4 linked regions of the Sus scrofa genome follow. The protein of the gene in region 4 interacts with the protein of the main gene of each other region in a pairwise test. Links are inferred from orthologs where the notes say so. Each region holds a gene or a part of one and is shown on either strand. Other genes may lie near its edges.

The links.
Region 1: the proteins of KLC3 (region 4) and TSNAX interact in binary tests that used the Homo sapiens proteins (3 or more experiments, as listed by UniProt). The two-hybrid records come from large-scale screens. The link is inferred for Sus scrofa from reciprocal best matches to the Homo sapiens genes KLC3 and TSNAX.
Region 2: the proteins of KLC3 (region 4) and CCNH interact in binary tests that used the Homo sapiens proteins (3 or more experiments, as listed by UniProt). The two-hybrid records come from large-scale screens. The link is inferred for Sus scrofa from reciprocal best matches to the Homo sapiens genes KLC3 and CCNH.
Region 3: the proteins of KLC3 (region 4) and BICDL2 interact in binary tests that used the Homo sapiens proteins (3 or more experiments, as listed by UniProt). The two-hybrid records come from large-scale screens. The link is inferred for Sus scrofa from reciprocal best matches to the Homo sapiens genes KLC3 and BICDL2.

The regions. Positions count from the first base shown.
Region 1 is NC_010456.5:59,054,053-59,060,602, reverse strand, and holds the start of TSNAX (translin-associated protein X), read left to right. Parts: upstream 1-2,302; 5' UTR 2,303-2,416; coding exon 2,417-2,432; intron 2,433-2,839; coding exon 2,840-2,944; intron 2,945-6,138; coding exon 6,139-6,253; intron 6,254-6,550.
Region 2 is NC_010444.4:94,993,502-94,999,505, forward strand, and holds part of CCNH (cyclin-H), read right to left. Parts: intron 3,376-6,004; coding exon 3,264-3,375; exon of another isoform or gene 162-3,263; coding exon 101-161; coding exon of another isoform or gene 86-100; exon of another isoform or gene 1-85. UniProt on the Homo sapiens protein: Regulates CDK7, the catalytic subunit of the CDK-activating kinase (CAK) enzymatic complex. CAK activates the cyclin-associated kinases CDK1, CDK2, CDK4 and CDK6 by threonine phosphorylation.
Region 3 is NC_010445.4:39,155,189-39,160,389, reverse strand, and holds part of BICDL2 (BICD family-like cargo adapter 2), read right to left. Parts: coding exon 5,077-5,201; intron 3,387-5,076; exon of another isoform or gene 2,763-3,386; coding exon of another isoform or gene 2,676-2,762; intron 2,448-2,675; coding exon 2,232-2,447; intron 2,096-2,231; coding exon 1,979-2,095; intron 1,873-1,978; coding exon 1,726-1,872; intron 908-1,725; coding exon 680-907; intron 597-679; coding exon 447-596; intron 2-446; coding exon 1-1.
Region 4 is NC_010448.4:51,732,459-51,737,644, reverse strand, and holds the end of KLC3 (kinesin light chain 3), read right to left. Parts: intron 5,047-5,186; coding exon 4,827-5,046; intron 4,480-4,826; coding exon 4,392-4,479; intron 4,313-4,391; coding exon 4,211-4,312; intron 3,690-4,210; coding exon 3,516-3,689; intron 3,328-3,515; exon of another isoform or gene 2,986-3,327; coding exon 2,895-2,985; exon of another isoform or gene 2,821-2,894; coding exon 2,780-2,820; exon of another isoform or gene 2,697-2,779; coding exon 2,590-2,696; exon of another isoform or gene 2,404-2,589; coding exon 2,340-2,403; exon of another isoform or gene 2,077-2,339; coding exon 2,005-2,076; 3' UTR 1,892-2,004; downstream 1-1,891. Other genes in the region: ERCC2 (TFIIH basal transcription factor complex helicase XPD subunit), read left to right, coding at 377-469, 581-653, 814-884, 978-1,121, 1,200-1,343, 1,708-1,800. UniProt on the Homo sapiens protein: Kinesin is a microtubule-associated force-producing protein that may play a role in organelle transport. Plays a role during spermiogenesis in the development of the sperm tail midpiece and in the normal function of spermatozoa.

The sequences.
Region 1 (6,550 bases), on a different chromosome or scaffold from region 4:
ATGCCTTTGCCAGTTGCCACACAAGTGCGAAGGCATTTCTGACAAAGAGTAGCCACAGTTGGGACACCTCGGGTAACTGCATATGCAAATTAGCGCTGGGAAAATATTCCTGAGATTCACCTCCCATGAAGTCCTTTGAGAAGTCATTACACGTTGGGAAACCTCCTAATCCTTAACATTTATGGGAAACAGAGCGAAGCACTTCAAGTAACAAAGCTGGGGCTGAACAGCTGAACAGGGGTGGTGGCTGGAAAAAAGAAGTATGACTGATTCAGGTTTGGGAAAGTTGAGGTCTTCAGAGCTGCTCTATCTAGAGTATTTTTATACTGTTTTCCCAGACACTGCTGAAGCAAGCATTGACTCTAAAAATATTCATAACCTACTGGCATCCTTGGATGTAGAAGGAGTCACATTAAAATGATTACAATTATGTCAAACTTGTCTCTTTTTTTTTTTTTCCCCCTTGGTCATCTCTAATCAAATATTAGGGGGCATAACATCAGTAGGCTCAGACCTCACAGAAACTCAGAATTATATTCCCAACATCGGCAAAGCAAAAGTTTAGCCCATTTCACGCACAAGGAACTCAGCTAATCAACACAAGTATTCAAAGAGCTGCAAACATGTGATGGGTGGTGCCTGGCAGGCTTCTTGCTTCCCAGTTGGAAGAGGCCCTCAACATCACCCAGAGCAGGGAGTTTCCATTGTGGCTCAGTGGTAATGAACTGACCAGTATCCATGAGGACATGGATTTGATCTCTGGCCTTGCTCAGTGGGTTAAGGACCCCGCGTTGCAGAGAGCTTCGGTGTAGGTCACAGAGGTGGCTTGGATTTGGCATTGCTGTGGCTGTGGTGTAGGCCGGCAGTTGTAACTCTGACTCAACCCCTACCTGGGAACCTCCATATGCCGTGGGTGTGGTCCTAAAAAGACCAAAAAAAAAAAAAATTACCTAGAGCAGAAAATTTTCCTATGACACAGGACTGTCAAGAGCTTGAATTTACTGCCATATGCTATCCAAATGGTTTCATTTACTGTTTTTTTTTCCCCTAAATTAAGGAGGAAAGACTGTATGTACAACACAGGACATTACGGGGGTTATTTGGGGAAAATGTAGTAAAAAAGTACTTGTGGTTTCCCTGCAAGCCCTGGGCCACACAACTAGTCAAGCCTCAGCCTGAGATTTTATCTAAAGAATGCTGGATTGCCACTCATTTGCCCATCTGGAAGATGGGAACGTCTGTTCACCGACAGTTAACGAGGCTTACAAGGGTGCTGTGCTAAGAACCTGTTGCGGTGGGCTGGACACAAAGTCTATAAAGACAGGGCAGTACCTGCCTACAATGAAATGCTCACAAGTTAGTGGAGCACACCTGCTATTATCATCACTGACCTCTCTCTTTTTGGAGAGCGATGGTGAGAGAAGGGTATCAAAATTTATATTTAGCGGAGTCTTCTGCGCCTCAATGGTAACTTATTTACTGGTCAAAGATCTTCCTAGGTGGGTCCTGCTTTCTCTCTTTTACAGATGAAACTAAGCTAGGGATGAAGTGCTTCCCCGAGGTCACACAACCACTCAGTGGCGGAGACCACCGTGAACGCGAGCTGTCTGGCTCCACGGTTCCCATAGAGGAGAAAGGCGGGAGGAGGCAGGAGGACGACGAGAATGGGAGAATGGGAGAGGGGCGAGGGGAGGAGTACACAGGGGCCCGTTTCCCTTCGTTAGAGAAAATGCCAGCAACGCCATCCACTTGTTGATTTGCACATTTCCATCACTTTAGCTGCCGGCGTCACTGCTAGGAATGGAAAACTGAAAGACTCCCCAACTCTTTAAGGTTTGGTTTGCTTCCCGAGAGGACATAGCCACAGGTGATGCGAATTGATGCCTTCTCTGTTCCCGGCGCCAGCCAGGCCGTCTGCGGCAACGAACTACAACCCCACCATGCACCGCGCGGTTCCGAGGGCCACGCCAAGGGAACAAGAGGGTGACCCAAAGGTGCCTTGAGGGGAAAAAAAAAAAAAAAATCACCTACATTTTCCTGGCTTTCCCACCTTCACGTTGACCTCACTCCCAGCACGGTCCGCCATATTTTTAAGTGAGCAGCTCATACAGAGAAGTGTGCCGAGTCTCTTCTGTCTTCAGGCATGACAGAGGGCAGGCTCGATGCCTGCGCGCGGGTGCGAGGTCCCCAGGCCAGGCGCGGGGCGGAGTCAGCAGCGGCTGGGCGGGGACGCAGACCGGAAATATGCGAGGGCAAGGGAGAAGCTTGAGTGGCTGCGGGCGCGCGCTTCCGGCCGGGGCGTCGACGTTGGCCGGCTGCGCAGGGCGCCGCTGCGGGCTCTTCGGCCACCACTTTACGCGTTCCGCTCGCCTCCAGGTTGCCAGTCTCGTCTCTTCTCGCCGTAGGCCGTGACGACATGAGCGGCAAAGAAGGTGGCGTCCTCGACAATTTGGGGCGTTATTTCTGTGTTTAGTCCAGGCTTCTGGTCACATTTCCCACTTCTCACCCTTGCGGGATGCCCTCTCACCCTGAAGGCTCGGGGCGGGGGTGCTGCCCTAGTGATTTTTGCGGCCACAGTGGCCTGTTTATGCCTCGTGTTTTCTTAAATTCTCGAGCCGTTTTTCATCTTAGTTCGATAGTTGCTCTGTAAGGAAGCCGTTAGTGGAGGCCCGGATGGTGAGCCTAAGGTTTGGGAGGACAAGGCAGGGTCCTTCTGCTGAGAAAGCCTCTCTGTGGATACCGGTTGTAGAGAAAGGAACGCGTTTGCCCGCTGTAAATTTTTGTCAGCTCTTGGTAATGGAAGAGCCCCGTCCAACCTTTTTTTCCTTCTCTATGTAAGGTTCAGGAGGGTTCAGGAAAAGGAAGCATGACAATTTCCCACATAACCAAAGAAGAGAAGGGAAGGATCTTAATTCATCTTCACCTGTGATGTTGGCCTTCAAATGTAAGTTCTCTGTCATGCAAGCTGGCGAAGGGAAGAGAACTAAAGAGCTTGTCACGAGGGTTACTTAGCCATGTCCTACACGTGAAAACAGCCGCCAGGAATTTTCCTGGAGGTGTTGGCGATGGTGCTAGGTCTGCCATGAAAGTTGAGATTACAAAAGTGTTGACTTTTTTTTTCCGCATTGCAGTTTCACAAGTAAACATTAGTTTACTAACATCAGACGTGCTACATAACGAAAAATTACTGAGTGATATGTAAATATATGTGTCAAGGGTGTGTGTATACATATATCTATTATGTATATATTTATGTTGGGTGTGTGTATATGTACCAACTGTATATGTGTATATCAGCGATGTGTGCATATACATCAGCTGTATGTGTACATATATTTAATTAATTTTAACGTGTTGGTTTTGTTTCCTTAGCTAGACTTTTGAAGACAGGGACTGGTTTTTTTTTTTGTTTTTTTGGTTTTTTTTGTCTTTTTGCCTTTTCTGGGGCCGCTCCCATGGCACATGGAGGTTCCCAGGCTAGGGGTCTAATCAGAGCTGTAGCTGCCGGCCTCCGCCACAGCCACAGCCACAGCAACGCGGGATCCAAGCCGCGTCTGCAACCTACATCACAGCTCACGGCAACGTCGGATCGTTAACCCCCTGAGCAAGGCCAGGGATCGAATCCGTAGCCTCATGTTTCCTAGTCGGATTCGTTAACCATTGAGCCACGACAGGAACTCCCAGGGACTGTATTTTATCTTTTCACAGAGTATGAATGCATTTCTATTAGTAAATCAAACGTGTATGTATTCACAGTTGCCCTTGTCTCAGCATGTTAACTTGGTCAAGTTGTTACTCATTTCAAAGAGAAACATAAAACAAAGTCCTCCCTCCTCTCTTCTGTCCAGCATCCTATCCTTATAGTTTTTGTGGTTTTGGAATCCATGAGGGGCTTAGTTAGCTGTTGGTTCTGACTTGCAGTCATGTGCAGGCTATGCTTGGGCTGGAGGATCCACAGCTATTGACAAATTAGGCTTTCTGCCAAGAACCAGCTCCAGGTTCCTCTACATGGACCCTCGGTAGAACTGCTTGAATGTCCTCAAGCGTGGCATCTGGCTTCCCCTAGACTGAGAGATGGGAGGAGATCACCCTTCTCTTATGTCCTAATCTAGGACATCATACTTTCTCACTTTTGCTACATTCTATTTGTTAGAAATGAGCAGTTTAAAAACTCCGCCTCATATTTAAGTGGAAGGGAATTAGCTTCCATTTTTTGGAGGGAGGTATCTCATGATTTGTGGACATAAATTTCTTTTTTTTTTCCTTTTCTTTTTTTATGCTTTTTAGGGCTGCATGTGCAGCATATGGAAGTTCCCGTGCTAGGAGTCAAATCGGAGCTATAGCTGCTGGTCTGCACCACAGCAACGCCAGATTCGAGCCGCATCTGCCACCTACTCTGCACCTCACGGCAACATCTGATCCTTAACCCACTGAGTAAGGCCAGGGATTGAACTTGTATGCTCATGGATAGCATTGGGTTTGTTTCCACTGAGCCACAATGGGAACTACAATTTGTGGATATGTTTTAAAACCACCACAGCACCTAGTGATCTTCAGGGATGTGAGACAACTAGTTATAATTGAGTAGAGAGCATACTGATAGTGTTATATACTCCGTGGAAACACTATATTGGGTCAAGTATTCACCGTTATACTCTCACACATTCTACATGGAGCTGCTTGTTTCTACACATATTTTGCTGTTTTATGTTTCTACTTGTCTAGTGCACATAGTTCTTTAAGCTTGGAATTGTTTCTAACTTGATGACCCTGTTGAATGTCTGGTATGCCATAGTTTTCTTCAAGACCCAGCTCAAGCAGCTTCTTCCTTTGAAGCCTTTTCTGATTTACCTCTCAAACAAACTTGGTGACAAACATTGCATTCATTGAACATCTGTCTATTCAGTTGGGAAATTTTGAGTGTCTGTATTCTAGCATGTGTTGGTAGTGAACAGGAAAATTGTAGTTCCTACTTTGCTGAACCATACGTGTACATTTACATATATATACCCACACATATAAACATACGTATATATATAATAGCATGATCACATTTAATTATTCCTTTATATCTGTGTCTCATTCTGGACTGAACTCCTTAAGGATTTGAAACTGCTTTATTTAACTTTGAAGTCATAGTATCTAATTTACAGTTGTGATCAATGTATTTGTAATAGTGAATACATTTGATTGTCTTGAAACATTAGACAAAATCCTAGCCTAATTATTGTCTCAATAACCAGATGTATTTAGGTCCTTGTCAGCTATTAATTTGGTTAATAATTTATTCTATAGTTTTTATTCATGCAAAATATGCCTGTGGATTGCTCCCTATAGGACTGCAACTTGCTAGGTCTTTGGTGTGACAATGCCTCTGAAATAAAGTGGTTATTCAGGTGGTTTAAGTGCTTAGGGGTATTTCAACAGCTAGGGCTTGAAAATTCAGAGAGTTGATGTTATCAGAGGCTATACACTTTATTTATTTATTTTGGCTTTTTAGGGCTGCACCTGTGGCATCTGGAAGTTTCCAGGCTAAGGGTTTAAAAGGAGCTGTACCTGCCGACCTTCACCACAGCCACAGCAACATGGGATCCAGGCCATGTCTGTGACCTATACCACAGCTCACAGTAATGCCAGATCCTTAACTCACTGGGCGAGGCCAGGGATCAAACCCATGTCCTCATGGATTCTAGTCAGATTCGTTATTGTCGAGGCATAATGGGAACTCCATAAACTTTTAATTTAAAAATTCTGGTTTCTTTTTTGTTGATATTTATATTGTATATGAATAAGGTAGGTAAAATAGCACAGCGAGATAGATGGAAGTATTTTTTGTAAGTAGTTATGTGTGATAATTTTGTGATAACAGTCCATGTTTACTAGAACAGATTTTTTTTTTCCCCTGCAGTAGGTACATGTCATTGTGAGGCATACTTTATTTAAAGAAAAAATATCTCAGTTTTTGATTTCTAATATCTCAGTCTTTGATTTCTAAGTACTTTAATAATAATAAATAAGATGATTTTATTCCATTCATTTTTATAGTGTAAGTTGCCTGCTCGTGTGTAGTGACAATATTGTTTGATAGGCTTCAAGTATAAAATAAGTATGCTCATGGTCATAATAATGTGTTCTTAGCATTTCAGCAGGAACTTGATGCAAGACATGATAAATATGAGAGACTTGTGAAACTTAGTCGGGATATCACTGTCGAAAGTAAAAGAACAATTTTTCTTCTCCATAGGATTACAAGGTGAGTAAATATCTTTAAAATTTGTTATAGTTGGATACAGTTTGATATGAAGTTTATAGATATTGTAAGTGCACAGTAACTACCTGACTTACTCTGTGAACTCTGGTATCAGAGAATGTTAGTAGCGTTTGGATTTTAAGAATAAACATCTTAGGGAGTTCCTATCATGGCTCAGCTGACACAATCCAACTAGCATCCTTGAGGATGTGCGTTCGATCCCTGGCCTCGCTCAGTGGGTTGAGCTGGTGTTGCTGTGAGCTGTGGTTTAGGCTGCAGATGCATCCATGAGCTATGGTG
Region 2 (6,004 bases), on a different chromosome or scaffold from region 4:
GTCTATAATGCCCGCACTCTGGAACAATAAAATCTTAACACTATTGTCATACCAGAATAAACAACAACAGTAAGTTAAAATTTACCTTTGGAGAACATACCTCCTCATGTTTGGATTTCTTTGAGACATAATCATCATCTTCATAACCTTTCCTCTTCTTGCTGTAATTAAGCAACCATCAATAAGCAATCTAATACTGGCAACAGAATCTAGCATGGTTAAACTAGCAAGATTCTGTAAATCTCTCAAACAAGCTATCTTTTTTTGACATATCTACAGAACAAACCCTGGATAAATGGAAAAAGGTGAAGAATTATGGGTAGGAAGGCAATTATCTTTCAAATTACTCTTTAAAGACAGTGCAGTTTGCAGAGTTCCTTGGTGATCTGGCGGTTAGGATCAGTGCTTTCATCGTTGTGGACCGGTTTTGATCCCTGGTCTGGGAATTGAGATCCCATATCAAGGTGCTGCATGATGCAGCAAAATAAAAAAATTCAATCCAATTCTAATTAAAATCCTAATAAAATTTTTCCTAAGCTTAACTCTGACCAGGAAAAGATTACACAAAAATAGCAAAAGAATATGAAAAAGAACAAAATATGGGGAGCATGTCCCACCTAACATCAAAACATACTTTATATAAACTATGGTAATTAAAAGTATGGTACAGTCATTCTTTGATATCTGAGGAAGACTGGCTCCAGGAACCCCACCCCCACCCCTCAAGATACCAAAATCCTGATGCTCAAGTCCCTTTTATGAAATGGTAATATTCGTACATTTGGTGCTCTGCATCCACAGATATGAAGGGCTGTCTGTATTAGCAAAGAGTTAAAGATCAATGATCAGTACAAAGTATATATAGGAGTTTAATCTGTAATAAATGACTATTTTAAATAACTAGAGAAAATCATGAAATATTTTTAAATGGCTGATACAAGTTTACTTTGAACAAAAATTAGTGAGATTTCTACCTCAAACCAATCACATACAATTCTAAATAGTTTTAACAGCTAAACAAAAGGCAAAATACAGAGTAAGACAAGGTGTTCAGGTGTACGAGCATAAAGCAAAAGACAAGCTGCCTATGTCACAAAGTAAAAGAAGCAACAAAAGAAAGTAGGTCTATGATAAATATAAAAAGAGGAGTATATAAAAAGAACCATAAGAAAACAAGACAAGAAAGTTGGGCAGAGGTTATAATTATGCAATACAGAAGAAACAGGATTATTTGACATGGAAATATCAGTATCAGAATAATAAGAGAAATGCAAATTAAAATACCGATGTGATGATTATTTCTTCACCCAGACTGGCAGAAGTTAAATACTGATACTATTAAATGTTGTACAATGTGTATGAAAACAATGAAAAGGGAAAAAACCCTTTTCTAAATACATAATAGTGAAAAGCTTGGCAAAGATAACAACTATAAGTTACCTCTCGGGATGAAACTGGGATTTGGGTTTTGGTTAAAGAGAACTCTGGTTTACCTGTATTAAATTGGCTTTAATAATGACACTATATTACTTGTGTATTAAAAAAGATAAAAGAATTTTAAAGACCAAGAAAAAATATTTTATCCTAAAGTAGTGCTTGTAAGTGTGATTTATGGACCATTTCCAGCGTGCAATGAGATAAGTATAGAAATTGAGTGTGTGTTTAGAAATTTTTATAGGAATTTGATAGATTTATTTATGACTACTGAATCTAATAAAATTAAGCTTATTGAATCTAATAAAATTTAAGCTTATTTTTTTGTCATTTTCTTTTTTCGAGTAATTATTTGTTAATATTTTATGTAAGTGTAGGTCTGTAATGGGTTAAAAAGAAAATTAACAGTCCTTTACAGTTTGAGAATCGCCCTTTAAGTACTCATAGATATGCAGGGTTTGCTTAACACAGTACACTTGAAAGAAAGATGTAAACTCTGGCCAATTAGGAACTTTGGATTATGGTCCATTCAGTCACCTAGCTAGAAGAGTAAGATCAATAGTTGAGTGGTCTAATTCAGAGGTGGACAAATTTTTCTTCAAAAGGCCATATAGTGAGTATTTTAATTCTTGTACGGGCATGTAGTTTCTGTCACAACTACACAATTCTTCTGCTATAGTCTGAAAACAGCAATACACAGTATGCTAGATGGATCTATGTTCCAATAAAACTATTTCTAAAAACAGGTTGTGGCCCAGATTTGGCCCTTGGGCCACAGTGTGCCAACACCTGGTCTAATAAGCCCATTTCAAAATCAATGTGAAAAGATTATAAATCAGTACTGCAATACTTTCATTCATTAAAGTCAACATTTTTCTTTACTTTTGCTGTAACACTGAAACCCAGGAGTGAAATTTACCAATTTTAGGTTCTATTCTAAGCCATGTTTTGCAGTTACAGCTACAAATATAAAATAGTCCCATATTTTACACACATCATAAGTCCTGGGATATTCTCCTACTATAGCTTTATAGTTAGAAGAATTTGAGTTACAAGTACCTGATCTGAAGGCCTTAGAATTCTGGTCTGATGTCTCATATATTATCCAATAACAATATAGTCATCAATTATGGAATCAGAAACATCTCAAATGCATCTCAACTGTAAGATGACAGACCTACCTCCCACTAAGTTTTACAGAATGTGTTCCACAGAAAATATAAAATAATAATTTTACCATTCTTATTACCTACCCAGATCCCCAACTGTTTAAACACCTGAAAGGTGTAAGCAGATCTTCAAGCTGCAGGTGATAAAGAGCTCAAATATAGTGAATTCCACATTCAGCAACAAGTCAATAAGACGTATTACAGTGTTCCTTATGGATGCAACAAGAAATCTAACAGCACATTTTCCTATTGATTCTGTCTTCAATATAAAGTTTACCACTGAGAGAAAATATGCCAAATTTCCATACCCTAGCTAATAGAAATAAATCTGGAACAGTGTACTTGTTCTCCAGAGGAGATAACCAGACCTACAAAAAACCTAGAGATTAAAAGGACAAGAAGAGGTTCATGAATTCCCTAGGAAGACTCTGCCTCATGGGATCCCACAAGCCAAAGAACACGTTAATCACAGCAGGAGCAGAATTGACTATAAAAAGCCAAATTCTTTTATTATCTCGTGTTTAATCCTGTTGAAAAAAAATCTGATTTAATAGGTAAGTCAGTTTTACCCATATGAGCATTCACCAATTAAATGACATTTTAAGCTAAACACAATAATAGTTATATCTGTTCTAGGATAACAGTGTCCCATCTACTTACGTAATTACGTTAAGTGCAAGCTCAGGAGAGTGACATCTCTCCAACTTCTGTTTCAGAACAGCAACTTCTTCAGATCTGGGTGGTTCATATTTTTTTACCAAGTTTCTCATGCCTATATGTATATAAAAGAAAGGATCCACATCAGATAATGAAAAGTATGGTTCTCATAAAGGGGATGAATAATATTTTCCCATCTAGTTTTGGGAACAACAAAGAACACTCCTGAAATGTGGTTATTATTATCAGGATTATTATTTCACATTAGAATTCAATGAACACCATACTCAAGTTACTATAGCTTCTGCTGCTTAGCCCGCGTCGTGTACAGCATAACGATAAGCAGGCTTTGCTAGTCAGTATTTTTTCCAAATCCTACCATGGTCACTTTACTCAGTTTTAAGGCTTTTAAAAAATCCCTATATGATTTAGTAAACAATCTTTGTTCTCTACCACCAACTATATTCATAACATTCTGTCCTACAGATGGAGGGCCTCATGTACAAGGAAAACATTATTATGTAATATGCAATGAAGGAAAAATGCTTATAAATACCCGTCAATGATGCTTTGCTTTAACACAATGCGGAACCTATACAATGAAGCATCACCAAGAAAACAAAAATACCCTCCTTATGCTAAAAGCAAACTACTACAGTGACTAAGCACACAAGGATTCTCCACCTGGGCCCTTTATATTATTCAACTACCACAAAACAAAGAATATAAATCTCATGATTTTTATAAGGAATGATGAGAGAAACAGGGCTAATTAGCCAGCCATGTGCTCCAAATGAGTGACTTATTTCATAAAGCAAATAAAGCAGTGTTTGCATCAAAACCCTTGGGACAGTATCTTGTGTGTGAAAAATTATGAATAAGATAATACCATTCCAGCTCTGAGTTTCAGCAAGAGCTATTCTTATTTTACATTTAAACAAATGGAGTAAAATGAAGGTAAGTGTCAGCTATAAAATCAGCACAGTGGGTTACCTTTAAGACCTCTTGTACTTACTAAATTCCTGGATCCTAATATCTATGGCCAAATCACAATTAGTTTTGGAAGTGAACCCTCTAGTGGTATAACTGAAAACCTACAGTTTTCTGACTGATAAATTCATCACTCTCACTTAAAGAGGGAAGACCTCGAGATCATTTCCAACAAAGAATCAAGAAATGATATTTACATGCCCTGAGGCATTTTAACTTTTGAAACATAAAACATAAAAACACTGATTAACTAATGTCATCCAAGATCAAGATCTTCAATGTCATATTTTATTGGCTTACTCAATATTTAAACCAGAAATTTATTCATAAGGACAACTGGCACAAAACATTTTGGAAACAAACATAACTGACTTTTAACCCTGAAGATGTGCATAGTAGCCATGAGCATGCAGTGTCACAAGAGCAAGAATGAACATGGAGAGGAATGGCTAATCCAGCCAATCAGTTAAGGGGAGGTTCTAACTCAATCCTTAAGAACAAGGTTGCCATATAGCTTGGGGAACTATATTCAATATCCTGTAATAACCTACAAGGGAAAAGAATCTGAAGCACACACATACACACACACATCTGAATCACTTTGCTGCACATATGAAACTAACACAACACTGTAAAGCAAGCATACTTTAAAAAAGTGAAAAGAAGGAAAAAAAAAACAAAACCTTAAGACAGTGTTTCTTAGCATAAGCACTACTGACAGCCTGGGCTAGAAAATTCTTTGTTGTGAGGGTTTATGTTAATTTCCTGAGATTGCTATTAAAAATTACCACAAACTCAGGACCTATTAAGACAACAAAAGTGGACTGTTTCACAGGTTTTTGTTTGTTTTGTTTTTTTGTTTTGTTTTTTTTTTTTTTGCAGCAACTGAGGCATGCACAAGTTCCCAGGCCAGGGATTAAACCTGTGCCACAGCAGCCACATGAGCTGCTAGGGTGAGAATGCTGGATTCTTAACCTGTTGTGCCACAAGAGAACTCCTGTTCCACAGTTCTAAAGCCTCAGAGTCTGCAATCAGTTTCACTAGACCAAAAACAAAATATGGGAAGGGCTACACTCTAGAGGCTTCTGTTCCAGCTTCTGATGACTGCCAACATCCCTTAGCTTATGGCCGTACTGCTCCAATTTTTAAGACATATCTTCAAATCTCTGCTGTGTCTTCAAAATCACCTTCAGTGTGTCAAACTTCTCTCTGCCTTCCTCTACTAAGGACTCTTGTGATTATATTTAGGCTCAATCTGAATAGTCCAAAATAATGTCTTTAACTTTGTCACACCTGCAAAGACTTTTTTGGGGGTGTCTTTTTGGCCATGTAAGGTAATGCTGGGCTTCCACTGATAATCTTTGGGGAGCCATTTCTCAGTCTACCAAGGGGCTGTATTATGAATTATAAAATGTTTATTGGGTCCTATCACCTCCGTGCACTGGATGCTGGTAGTAGCTGCCAACATCTCCCCCTACCGCTAAGTTGTGACAACCAAGAGGATGGAGATGCTGCAAAAATTCCACTCTGTTGAGAACCATGGCTTTTCTAATATCAACTAACAAAATGACTAGAAAATGACATATCAACTAGTTAAAACTGACTTAACTACAATATATGAGTTTCAAATTTAATTAGTTTTGGTTCCCTGTAGATATTTTTCAGTGTCCATCATGTCTGGATACCTTTTAAAAGGAACCTTTTAAATCTCAACACTTTCTGCACCTGATTATATTTTCACTTTCCTCAAAAGT
Region 3 (5,201 bases), on a different chromosome or scaffold from region 4:
TCTGCTGGCAGGGGAGAGAGGATGCAGAAAGGCAGGGAGGCCCCTGGGTGAACAGGGCAGGTAGTCCTTGCTCCTCCAGGCAGCCCAGGCTCCAGCTTGATCCTCCCCCCATCTCTCCCTGCTCCACAAACTACTCTGACAGCTAAGGTCCTGTGCTGGGGATGAACCTTCTGATCCCCTAGACTGGGGTGGGGTGGGGTAGGGAAGGTATGAGGCTGTAGGAAGGATATATGGAAGCATTGGGAGGTGGGGCTAAGGGGGGAAAGTAGTCCAGGAAGTCTCCCTGGAGGAGGTAACATACAGGCTGCCTCTTGAGAGACGATTGCGAGTTTGTTGGGATGAAGGGCTGTCTAGGTAGAGGGGGATTAATAGCGAAGACTCGGAGGTATAGATGGAAAAGAGAAATCGATAGGGGCTCTGCATGCAGTATTATGGTCCCCCCCCACCTCATCCTGCAACCGGACTACTTCCGCCTCCTTCTCTTCCAGCATCTCCCCTCGGCTCAGGGATGCTTGCTTCCTGGGAGGCTCTAAATTCTCTTTCTGGGGCGAAGGCTGGTGGCTGGATGCTTCTTGGGTCTCCAGGGACAGGGTGGTCTGTTCACCAAAGGAATCACTCAGTAAAGTGACCTCCCGCGAAAAGGAGGAGGGGAGGGGTCTGCAGCTCTCCTGCACGGTACCTGTTGTGAGCTGGTGGACAGAGAGCTCGCTAGAGTATCTCTGCATCTGTCCGTGTTCTGGTCTTGGTCGTGGTCGCTGTCAAGGCTGTGGGCAAGCTCCAGCTGCAGCGAGGCTCCCGAGATGTCTGCATCCTGGAGGCGCGACTCCTCCTCCAGTTCTGAGACGCGCCGCTGCAGCCTCCGCAGCGCGCTCAGTGCCTCCCCGGCCTCGGAGCGCGCGCGTTCCAGCTGCGAAACAGGGGCGGTCAGCCGGCTTCTCCCGCGGCCGGCCCACAGGGGGCGCTAGCACGCCGCGGAGAGTCAGCACCCCGCGTCCGGGAACTCTGAAGTCGCCTCCCGCTCCCGGATGGCCCGGCAGCCTTGGGTCGCGCAGTTCCCCTCGGCAGGTACCAATTTCCTTACCTATAAAGCAGGGCGCCAGTGGGAACCCCGGCTTTAAAGTTGCCCATCGTCCTCCCTCCAGTCCCACCCCATCAGGTCACCTCGAAAAGCCCCGCCCCTTCCCCTTCCCCCTTCCCCCTTCCCCCCAACCTGCCCGGGTCCACCTCTTTCATCCAGCGTTTATTGACCTTTCTAAGCTGGTGATGTGCTGAGTGTCTCAGCCCCTCACCACAGCCATGTACTATTACCCTCCCATCTCACAGACAGGGACACTGAGGCTGGTGTCCCGCAGTAAAAAGGGACGTGGGGCTAAGAACTCAGGTAATTTGACCCCCAAGTGCAAACTTCTGACATCTCAAGCATCAAGCCGTGCTGCCCACTATCATTCCCCTTTCCCCGTTTTCAAGCCCAGACCTGGCCCAGGTCCCCATCATCCCTGACCTGAGCTCTGGCCTCAGCCCCATCCCAGCCTCTCCAGCTGCCAGACTCTGATGGGTTCCGAGAGTGAACCAGCCCCACTCAGTATCCTCCCATGGCTCTCACTTGGCCTTAGGCTGATGCCCACATGCTTGTGGGCTCCCAGCGACCCAGCTCTGGTCTCTTCTCCCAGGAAGCCGTGAGGCAGTGGCCAAGGCCCCGGGGAGAGCCTCCCCATCCCAACCCACCTCCAGACTGTGCTCCCGCCTCTCGCGCCGTAACAGCAGCAGCTCCTCGTGGGTTGCCTGTAGTCTGCCCTGGCCCTTCTCCACCTCCTCACGCAGGCCTCGAATCTGGCTCTCCAGGTCCTGTCGGCGGCCCTGCAGCATCTGATTCTGGGGAGAGGCCTCCGAGCTGGAGTGGAAATGCTAGGCCAGCTCCTCATAGCCCCCATTGCAGCCTTGCTGGTTCAATAGACCCCCAGCCCCAGCTGGCACTCACCTCCCCCTGCAGACTCTCCAGCCGCGTCCTCAGCTCTGCCCCAGCCAGGGCCTGAGCCTGGCACTGCCCCCGAAGGCCATCCAGTTCCCTCTGAAGCTCCTGCTCGGTCTGGGAGGCCTGGGGATGGGGGGGTGGGGCGGTGGAGCCCTCAACTGGCCTGAGCCTCAACGCCAGGCCCAGTGCACCCACCTCCACCGGGACCCAGGCACCTGCCCCCTCCTTGCCCAGGGCCCTGGGGTCAGGGCTGTCCCACCTGGGCCAGCTGCTGGCTGAGCCGGAGGTTCTGTTCGCTGAGTTCAGTGAGAGCCCGCACCCGCTCACGGCCGCTGTCCTGCTGCTCTGATCGCTGCTCTCCCAGCTGGGCCCGGAGGGCCTCCACGTCCCCCTCCAGCTCCACGGCCCTGGCCTCCCACTCAGCTCCCTGTGCAGCCAGGCCCCGGCGGAGCTCATGGTTCTCCTGCTGCAGCCGCTGGCAGAACAGAGGGTCAGAGGCAGAGAGGCAGAGGTGAGCGTGCAGGGGTCTGAGACTGATGGTGGAGCCAGCAATGGGGAGGGCACCGGGGAGGAGGTGGGCAGGGAGGCAACACATGGTCCAGGCAGTAGGACAGGAGGGGGAGAAGTAGAAGCTTCCAGGAGGGGCTGACCATGGGCCGGAGTTGGGGTGGTGGCAGGGGGCGTCTTCCTGAGGCCCACTCACCTCTGGCTGCTGCCTGGGCTTCTGGACCCGAGGTCGCAGGCGCCGTTTGTGGCGCCTGAGTCTGGCAGAGTTGAAGCCCCGGCCCATGGCCTCCCTCACCTGTGATCCAGGGACTCCGGACGTTTAGCTTCTGCCCAGCCTCTGCTCAGCCCCTCTCCCAGAGCTGCTCCCAGCCAGCTCCCTCTAATTAACCCTGGTCAGCTCCACCCTGGCCCCACGCCTCTGCCTTCCCTCCCCAAAACCTGTCTAACCAGCAGGGGGACGCTCCTGGCACACCCAGATGCCCAGCTTGGGAAGGCAGGCAAGCCAGGGGGCCAGAGGCTCCCCAGACTCTCCCAGCAGGAAGATGATGCTCCCCCAGCTGCCACGGGGCCTGGCAGGCACTTCACCTGTGCTATTGTGTTAACTCCCTAGAGTTAGACTCCCTAACGTCCTCATTGTATAGATGAGGACACGGGGCCTCAGAGAGGGTAAATGCCTTGCCCGGGGACACACAGCTGGGTCCTAGAGCAGGGAATCTAACCCAGGCCGCCAAGCCCTTAACCAGGTACTGAGGGGGCCACAAAGCTTAGGATTAAACCCATGGGTTTGGGGTCCGATTGTCCTGGCTGATACCCAGGTCAGGCAAGACCCACCCATCCAGAGTTCCCATTGTGGCTCAGCAGAAGCAAATCTGCCTAGGATCCATGAGGACGCAGGTTCAATCCCTGGCCTTGCTCAGTGAGTTAAGGATCCAGTGCTGCCGTGAGCTGTGGTGTAGATTGCAGATGTGGCTTGGATCTGGCATTGCTGTGGCTGTGGTGTAGATGGGCAGCTGTAGCTTGGGATTCAACCCCTAGCCTGGAACCCTCCATACGCCATGGGTGTGGCCACACACAAAAAGAAACCCCCGGAAGCAATCCATGAAGAGGAGCAGGGATAAGTGGGGGCTCTTTCAGGGGGAAGAGGTGTCTAAATTGACTCCCGTGGGGCAGGAAGAACCAGGGTTACAGGGAAGGACCTTAAATGCACATGACCCAAGGCTACAAGCACAGGTCACCTGAGGAACTGAAAAAAGGCCCCGTCAGAGAAGGGGAGGTATGGCTGGGACTTTTTAGTTTCACTGTAAGTATGACGGGGAGCTGCTGGGAGATTCTGAGCAAGGACTGAAGTGGTGCGATTTGTAATTTTTGAAGATCTCTCTGGCTGCCCCGTGGAAAAGGCACTCCAGCGGGCAAGGGTGGAAACAGGACCAGCGAGCAGGGGCAGAGATGATGGGACAGGAGAAGTGGGCAGACTCGGAATCTAGTTTCAAAGAAGAAGCAACAGGGCTTGGAGTTCCTATCGTGGCTGAGCAGAAATGAACGCAGCTAGGATCCATGAGGACGTTGGTTTGATCCCTGGCCTCACTCAGTGGGTTAAGGATCCGGCGTAGCCTCGAGCTGTAGTGCAGGTGGTAGAGGTGGCTTGGATCTGGTGTGGCTGTGGCTGTGGCTGTGGCCTAGGCCAGGGGCAGCAGCTCCAATTCAACCCCGAATCTGGAAACTTCATATGCCAGAGGTGTGGCCCTAAAAAGCAAAAGAAGAGAGAAAGAAAGAAAGAAGGCCCAGGGCTTGCCGACGTGGGAGGAGAGCGGTCTACCAGCTGCGCAGGGTCTGGTCCCGCAGTGTGAACCCAGGGTAGCACGTGATGGGGGCATGGAATCCAGGGCCACTTATGTTGAGATGCCCCTTAGGGGGCCAGGTGGAGAGGGTGTGGGGGGTGAGGATGTGGATACAGGAGTCAGTGGGGTCCAGGGGACCAGATGTGACCCTCAGGGAATGTGGCTGACCAGAATCTGGGAAAACTGTCCCTGTCTCACAGAGCTGGTGAGAACTGACCTGGACGATCCAGGGAAAGTGCTTAGCTCGGAGCCGGGCAGGGAGGGAGCACCCGGGAGCTGCTGCCTGGGGTTGTGCAATCCTGCAGAGGGCCGCACGGCCAGGAAGGGATCTGCACCCAGGTCTCGACTTGTCCTCAGAGCCCACGTTCTTTTTTTTTTTCCCTCTTTTTTCTTTAAGGCTGCACCTGCCCCTGCAGCATAAGGAATTTCCTGGGCCAGGGGCCCTAGCCCACACCACAGCCACGCAGGATCCAAGCCGCATCTGCAACCTACACTGCCAGATCCCCAACCCACTGAGTGAGGCCAGGGATCGAACCCACACCCTCACGGACACTATGTAGGATTCTCAACACTCTGAACCACAGCAGGAACTCCATCAGAGCCCCTGTTCTTAACCACTGCCAGGGGCACTGGTCCCAGAGGCATCCATCCCCTGTGCCTGGCGTGCCTCTCCCTGCACACCTGGCTCCCACCTCCCCACAGCCTGGTCCCTGCCACCTCTCCTCCATGTGTCCAGCCCACCCTCTGCTGCCAGCTCACTTCCTCACGCTCAGAGTGCTGGGCGCTCAGCATCTCCATCTGCCGCTGCAGCTCCTCGTTCTGCTCCAGAAGCATCTTCCCAAGTTCTGCGGCCAACAGCAGGTCTTTCTCCTTCTCCTGCAGCT
Region 4 (5,186 bases):
CTGTGCATCTGCCCTTGATCAGGACCACACACCTATTATCATGTCAAATAGGAGGTCTCAGGGCAGCCTCCGATGGGCTCTGCCTGGCCTACATCAGCCTCTCCCCCAGTCATGAGCTGTGGGGGACATCCGAATTGGCCATTGAGCCGCTGTCCCCCTTGTCCAAAAGACGGGGATGTTCCCTACCTGGATCACAAGCAGTGTGGCTGGACAGTGCCACCACCCTGCCCCAGTCTCTGATGGGCAAGCCGTGACCCAGGGTGACAAGTGGTCTGTTGCATGGGAATCGGTGGCAGAGCTGAGTTTAACCGGGACGCCCCTGTCCTTTAATCTTTCTGCCAACCTGCACCCTGACCTCCCTGGTGTCCCTCCCTAGGGCATCCTTGAAAACATCCAGAGGAACAAGCTGCTCTTTATCGAGACTCAAGATGGGGCTGAGACCAGTGTCGCCCTGGAGAAGTACCAGGAGGTGGGTATTATTGGGGGGGAGGGCGGGAGATGCTGAGAGTCCAGGGTGGAGAAGGGCCAGAGGAGACAGCTCTGAGGTGACGCGTCTCGTATCCTGGCCTCCCCCCTCCAGGCCTGCGAGAACGGCCGTGGGGCCATCCTGCTCTCGGTGGCCCGAGGCAAAGTGTCCGAGGGAATCGATTTTGGTGAGTGGACCAGGCTTTCCCCTCCCGAGGGCCTGCCTGGAGCTCCGGCCGTTTCTGCTTCCCCGGGGACCACCCACCGCCCACGGCCTGGGCTCACCCGGGGGCCTGCCCTCCCTCCAGCCCTGGGCCGCACTGACGCCCCCTCGCCCCCCGCCCCCAGTGCACCACTACGGGCGGGCCGTCATCATGTTCGGCGTGCCGTACGTGTACACCCAGAGCCGCATTCTCAAGGTGAGCAGCGGGAGGAGGCGGGCTTCTGTTGGGCCTTCCCCTGGGGTCTTGTGCGGCGTGAGGAAGGGACGTCTCCCCTCTCTGCACCTGCAGGCGCGGCTGGAATACCTGCGGGACCAGTTCCAGATTCGAGAGAATGACTTTCTTACCTTCGACGCCATGCGCCACGCGGCCCAGTGTGTGGGTCGGGCCATCAGGGGCAAGACGGACTACGGCCTCATGGTCTTCGCTGACAAGGTGAGGAGTCGGGCCCGGCTGGGGGTGCCCGGGCCCCCCTCCCACGGTCCTGACACCTGGCCTCTCTCCCGCTCAAAGCGGTTCGCCCGGGCAGACAAGCGGGGGAAATTGCCCCGCTGGATCCAGGAGCACCTCACAGACGCCAACCTCAACCTGACCGTCGACGAGGGGGTCCAGGTTGCCAAGTACTTCCTGAGGCAGATGGCACAGCCATTCCACCGGGTGAGCCCCGGGCGACCGAGCTCCTCTTACAGGAGGGACCCTGGCTTGCTTTCTCCTTGAGCCCCAACACCCCCCGCCCCTGACAGGTTTGTGTGCGCCCATGTGCCAGGCCTGGGGGCTGCAGAGGTCAGCGTGCGTCCAAGGGGCCTCTGGAAAGCCGGTCCTGCTCCGCCTTGGATGCAGCCCCTCTGCCGGCCTGTCCTCTGTTGACAGGAGTGGTCCGCTCTGCACTGGACATGTTTCCAGATTCAAGCATCCTGTCCCGTGGCCTCAGGCGGGCCACCTCCCTTCACTACTGGCTGCGGCGTGGACCCTGGGTCGGATGTGCGGCAGCCGTCTGACCTGCTTTCTCCCTCCCCTGCAGGAGGACCAGCTGGGCCTGTCCCTGCTCAGCCTGGAGCAGCTCGAGTCAGAGGAGACGCTGCGGAGGATAGAGCAGATCGCGCAGCAGCTGTAGCATGAGCCAGGCGGGGCCGCCAAGGTGTGCGCATCATGCCCAGTCTTACCTGGCCCCGGGGAGGTGCTGGAAGGTCAGGCGTGCATTTTGGCTGCCACATCCACAGCCTTTAATGGCAGGAGAAAGGACAGTGGGAGGCTCCCCTTCCCTCCCCACCCTCTCCCATTCCTCCCGAGATGCTGCGGCCGCGTGGTCTTGTCGCCTTTATCGAGGGCCAAGGTCCTGGGTGCTGGCGCTGAGGGTCCGGGAAGCCTCACTTAGGTGCCGGCTGGAGAACTGGAAAGAGGCACGGGGGGTAGGTGGGTGAGTGAGGCCCGGACCTAACTCTGCTCCAGCTGCCACTAGGGCTACTCCCTGGCAGCCTGGCCGCCACTGGCTGTGTCACTCATCCTCCTGTCCCCACCTCTCCCGCCTCTGCCCGGATAACCCATCCAGGCCCCCGTCCTGGGGTCCTTTCCCGTGCCATCCCCCCCTTCCCTTGCCTCTGGGCCCGACCTCGTGGTCCCCCACTCCCTCCTTGCCCCAGGGACCCCCCTCACCGGGAGCCCAGTGGCCCTTGGCCCATCCACGTTCAGCACGTTGAGGGACACGGCTCTCTTCATCCTGGAGGAGGTGGGGCACCCGTGAGTCTGGGCGTGTCGGGCTCCTGTCCTGGGGCAGACCCTCCAGCACAGGGGTGCTTGTATGTGTTGCGGGGGAGACGGGAGCCGTGGAAGGTTCTTGAGCAGGACAGGAGGGCTACAGAGGGGGCGTCTGTCCAGGCTCTCCCCCACCTGATCCCACACTCACCCCGCTGCCCCTGCCGCCGCCTCCCCTCGGAGCCGGGAGACCAGCTTCTCGCTTCCCCGCCGGATGGACTCCCGGAGCTTGGAGAAGGAGCTGCTCCGCCGAAGCCTCTGGGAGGGGGGCGCCAGTCAGTCCTCCCATCCAGCCGGTCCACCCCCCCATCCCCCGGGAGCCGAGCGAAGCCCCTCCTCACCTGCTGTTCTGCACCCCCGGCTGTGCCTGTTTTCAGGGCTCCTAGGGAACAGATGAGGACATGGTAGTGGGGACCCTGAGCAGCCTCCTGGGGGAGGGCGGGACTGGGGGCTCACCGAGGGGCGCGGGCAGGTCCTCCCTGCGGAGGATTTCTTTGTACAGCTCTTCCGCCTGCTGGTACTTGTTCTGCTTCAGGTAGGCTGAGGCCTGCGGGGAGGTGAGGGCCTGGGTGAGCTTGGCTCAAATCTGGGAGCTTCCCAGCCCCCCCCTGGGAGACACCTGGGCTCACCCTACACTCCAGGCCTCAGCCTGCAGCAGAGTGGGCTCGGCGCCCGACCCCACCGCTTCCCCCAGGGCAGCTGCCTCCCTGACTCAGAGCAGGAGCCTGCTCCCCCTCGACCTTGAGCCACACCTGTCTTTGCCTCCGTGTCCTCGTCTGCAGAATGGGGCGGCAGGAGCACCTACCTCGTGGGGCCCTTGAAGAGATGGGCAGTACAGGGCAAGTGCTAGGAAGGGGTCTAGCTCAATAAATGCGCTCATCTGCTCCTGGCTGGTCTCCGCGGCTGCCTCGTCGCCTGGCGCTGACCTCTGGGCTGAGCAGCCTTGCCTGCCAGGGCCCAGCTCGGAAGCCGAGTCTCACGGGACCCCTCCAGGGCCGGGCAAAGTCAGGTATCCCACCCTCGAGCGGACGCCGGGCCCTGGCTGTCCCCCCACCCCCAGGGGGGGAGCGCACTCACCAGGTTGTTCTTGGTCTTGGCCACGTTGGGGTCGTGGGGCCCCCCCAGGGCCTCGTAAATGCTCAGGGCCCGGGCGTAGTGCCGCTCCACCTCCTCGAACTTGCCCTGGTTCTGGCAGAGCAGGGCCAGGTTGTTGAGCTGCTTGGCCACATCCGGGTGGTCGGCGCCCAGGACCTAAGGGTCACGGGGTCACATGTCACTGGGGTCATCCAGGGCTGATGGGCCACATGATGCCAGTGGCTGGAATGAGGACCACGTTCACGAATCGGTGACCACAGGACCTCTGTGGAAGATTCTAGGAGGTCGGAGTGGGAGACAGGGGCTGCACCATCAGATGGGATTAGTCAGGTCAGAGATCATGGGGGTCCAGAACCTCATGATTATACGTCAAGGATGGGGTTGCACTGGTCACCTGGGGTTGGAAGATCAGGAGTGGGGTTGGGAGCTCAGGACTGGGGGGGAGGGGGGCCAGGAGGCGAGTCGCAAGAGGAGGGGGTCAGAGCCAGGAGTCAAGGCCCAGTGGAAGTCATGGTAGGTCAAGGGTGGTGGGTCAGGGGATTGAGGGCTCTGGGTGCAAAGTGGGAGGGGCCCAAAAGGTCAGAGGTCACCGGAGCAAGCAAGGGTCCTGCCGAATTGAGTGTTTCAGGATCAAATGGGAAGGGCTACACACGACAGGGGCTCCCAGGGAGCAGGACCTTCTCACGGATCTCCAGGGCGCGCTGGCACAGGGGCTCCGCCTCCCGGTAACGCCCCCGCTTCCCGTAGAGGACGGCCAGGTTGTTGAGGGTGGCGGCCACCTGGGGGTGTGGGGTAGGCAGGTCAGGGGTCAGAGGCCCACAGCGCACAGCCCTCCCTTCCTCCGGGGCCCCCGCTCACCGCCGGGTGCTCAGGGCCCAGGGTCTGCTCCCGGATCTGCAGGGCATCGTGGAGCAGGTCTGTGGCCTCTTTGTACTTGTTCTGGTCCCTGTGGGGCGGCCCAGGGGTGGAGGCGGTTAGGCCAGGCCGGGTAGCAGGGCCATGGGCTGGGCTGATCCAAGCATGGGGGGCACCCTTTGGGGGTCCCTTCTGGGTGTTCCCACACCTCCCAAGTCTAGCTTGGGGTCCCTGCCGCCCCCCAGTCTCTTCTCCACTCTGGTGGCCAGGCTGACTCCTCTTTGCCAGGATCTCTGGCCTTGCCAGATCCCTGACCCCTTTCCCTGCCACCATCCCAGGTGCCCATGCTGGCAAGGCAGGAGACCAGGGCTCCCCCTCTTCTACCAAACAGGCCCTGCCCTTCCTGCCCCCTCCAGCCGCAGCGGCCCCAGCCCTTACCGGTACACTAGCGCCAGGATGTTGAGCATGGTGGCCACGTCAGGGTGGCAGTGGCCTGAGCTCCGTTCGAGGTCCTCTAAGGCCTGGCGGCACAGTGGCACAGCCACCTCATAGCGGCCTTGCCCTGCATACTGGATCACGAGGTTGTGCAGGGTCCGAAGGCGGGCAGGGATCTCGTAGCCACCCTGCTGGGCCGCGGCGGCCCCCGCTGCCTCAGGACCTGGGGGTGCCAGGGGCGCCAAGTCACTGCAGGCCTCCTATCCCTCCAGCCCCACGTGAGGGGACACAGACACCCCTGGGACCACAGGTGTCTACCCGGCTTGTGGCATGTAAACACGGGAGCCACCTGGCTTGAGGGAC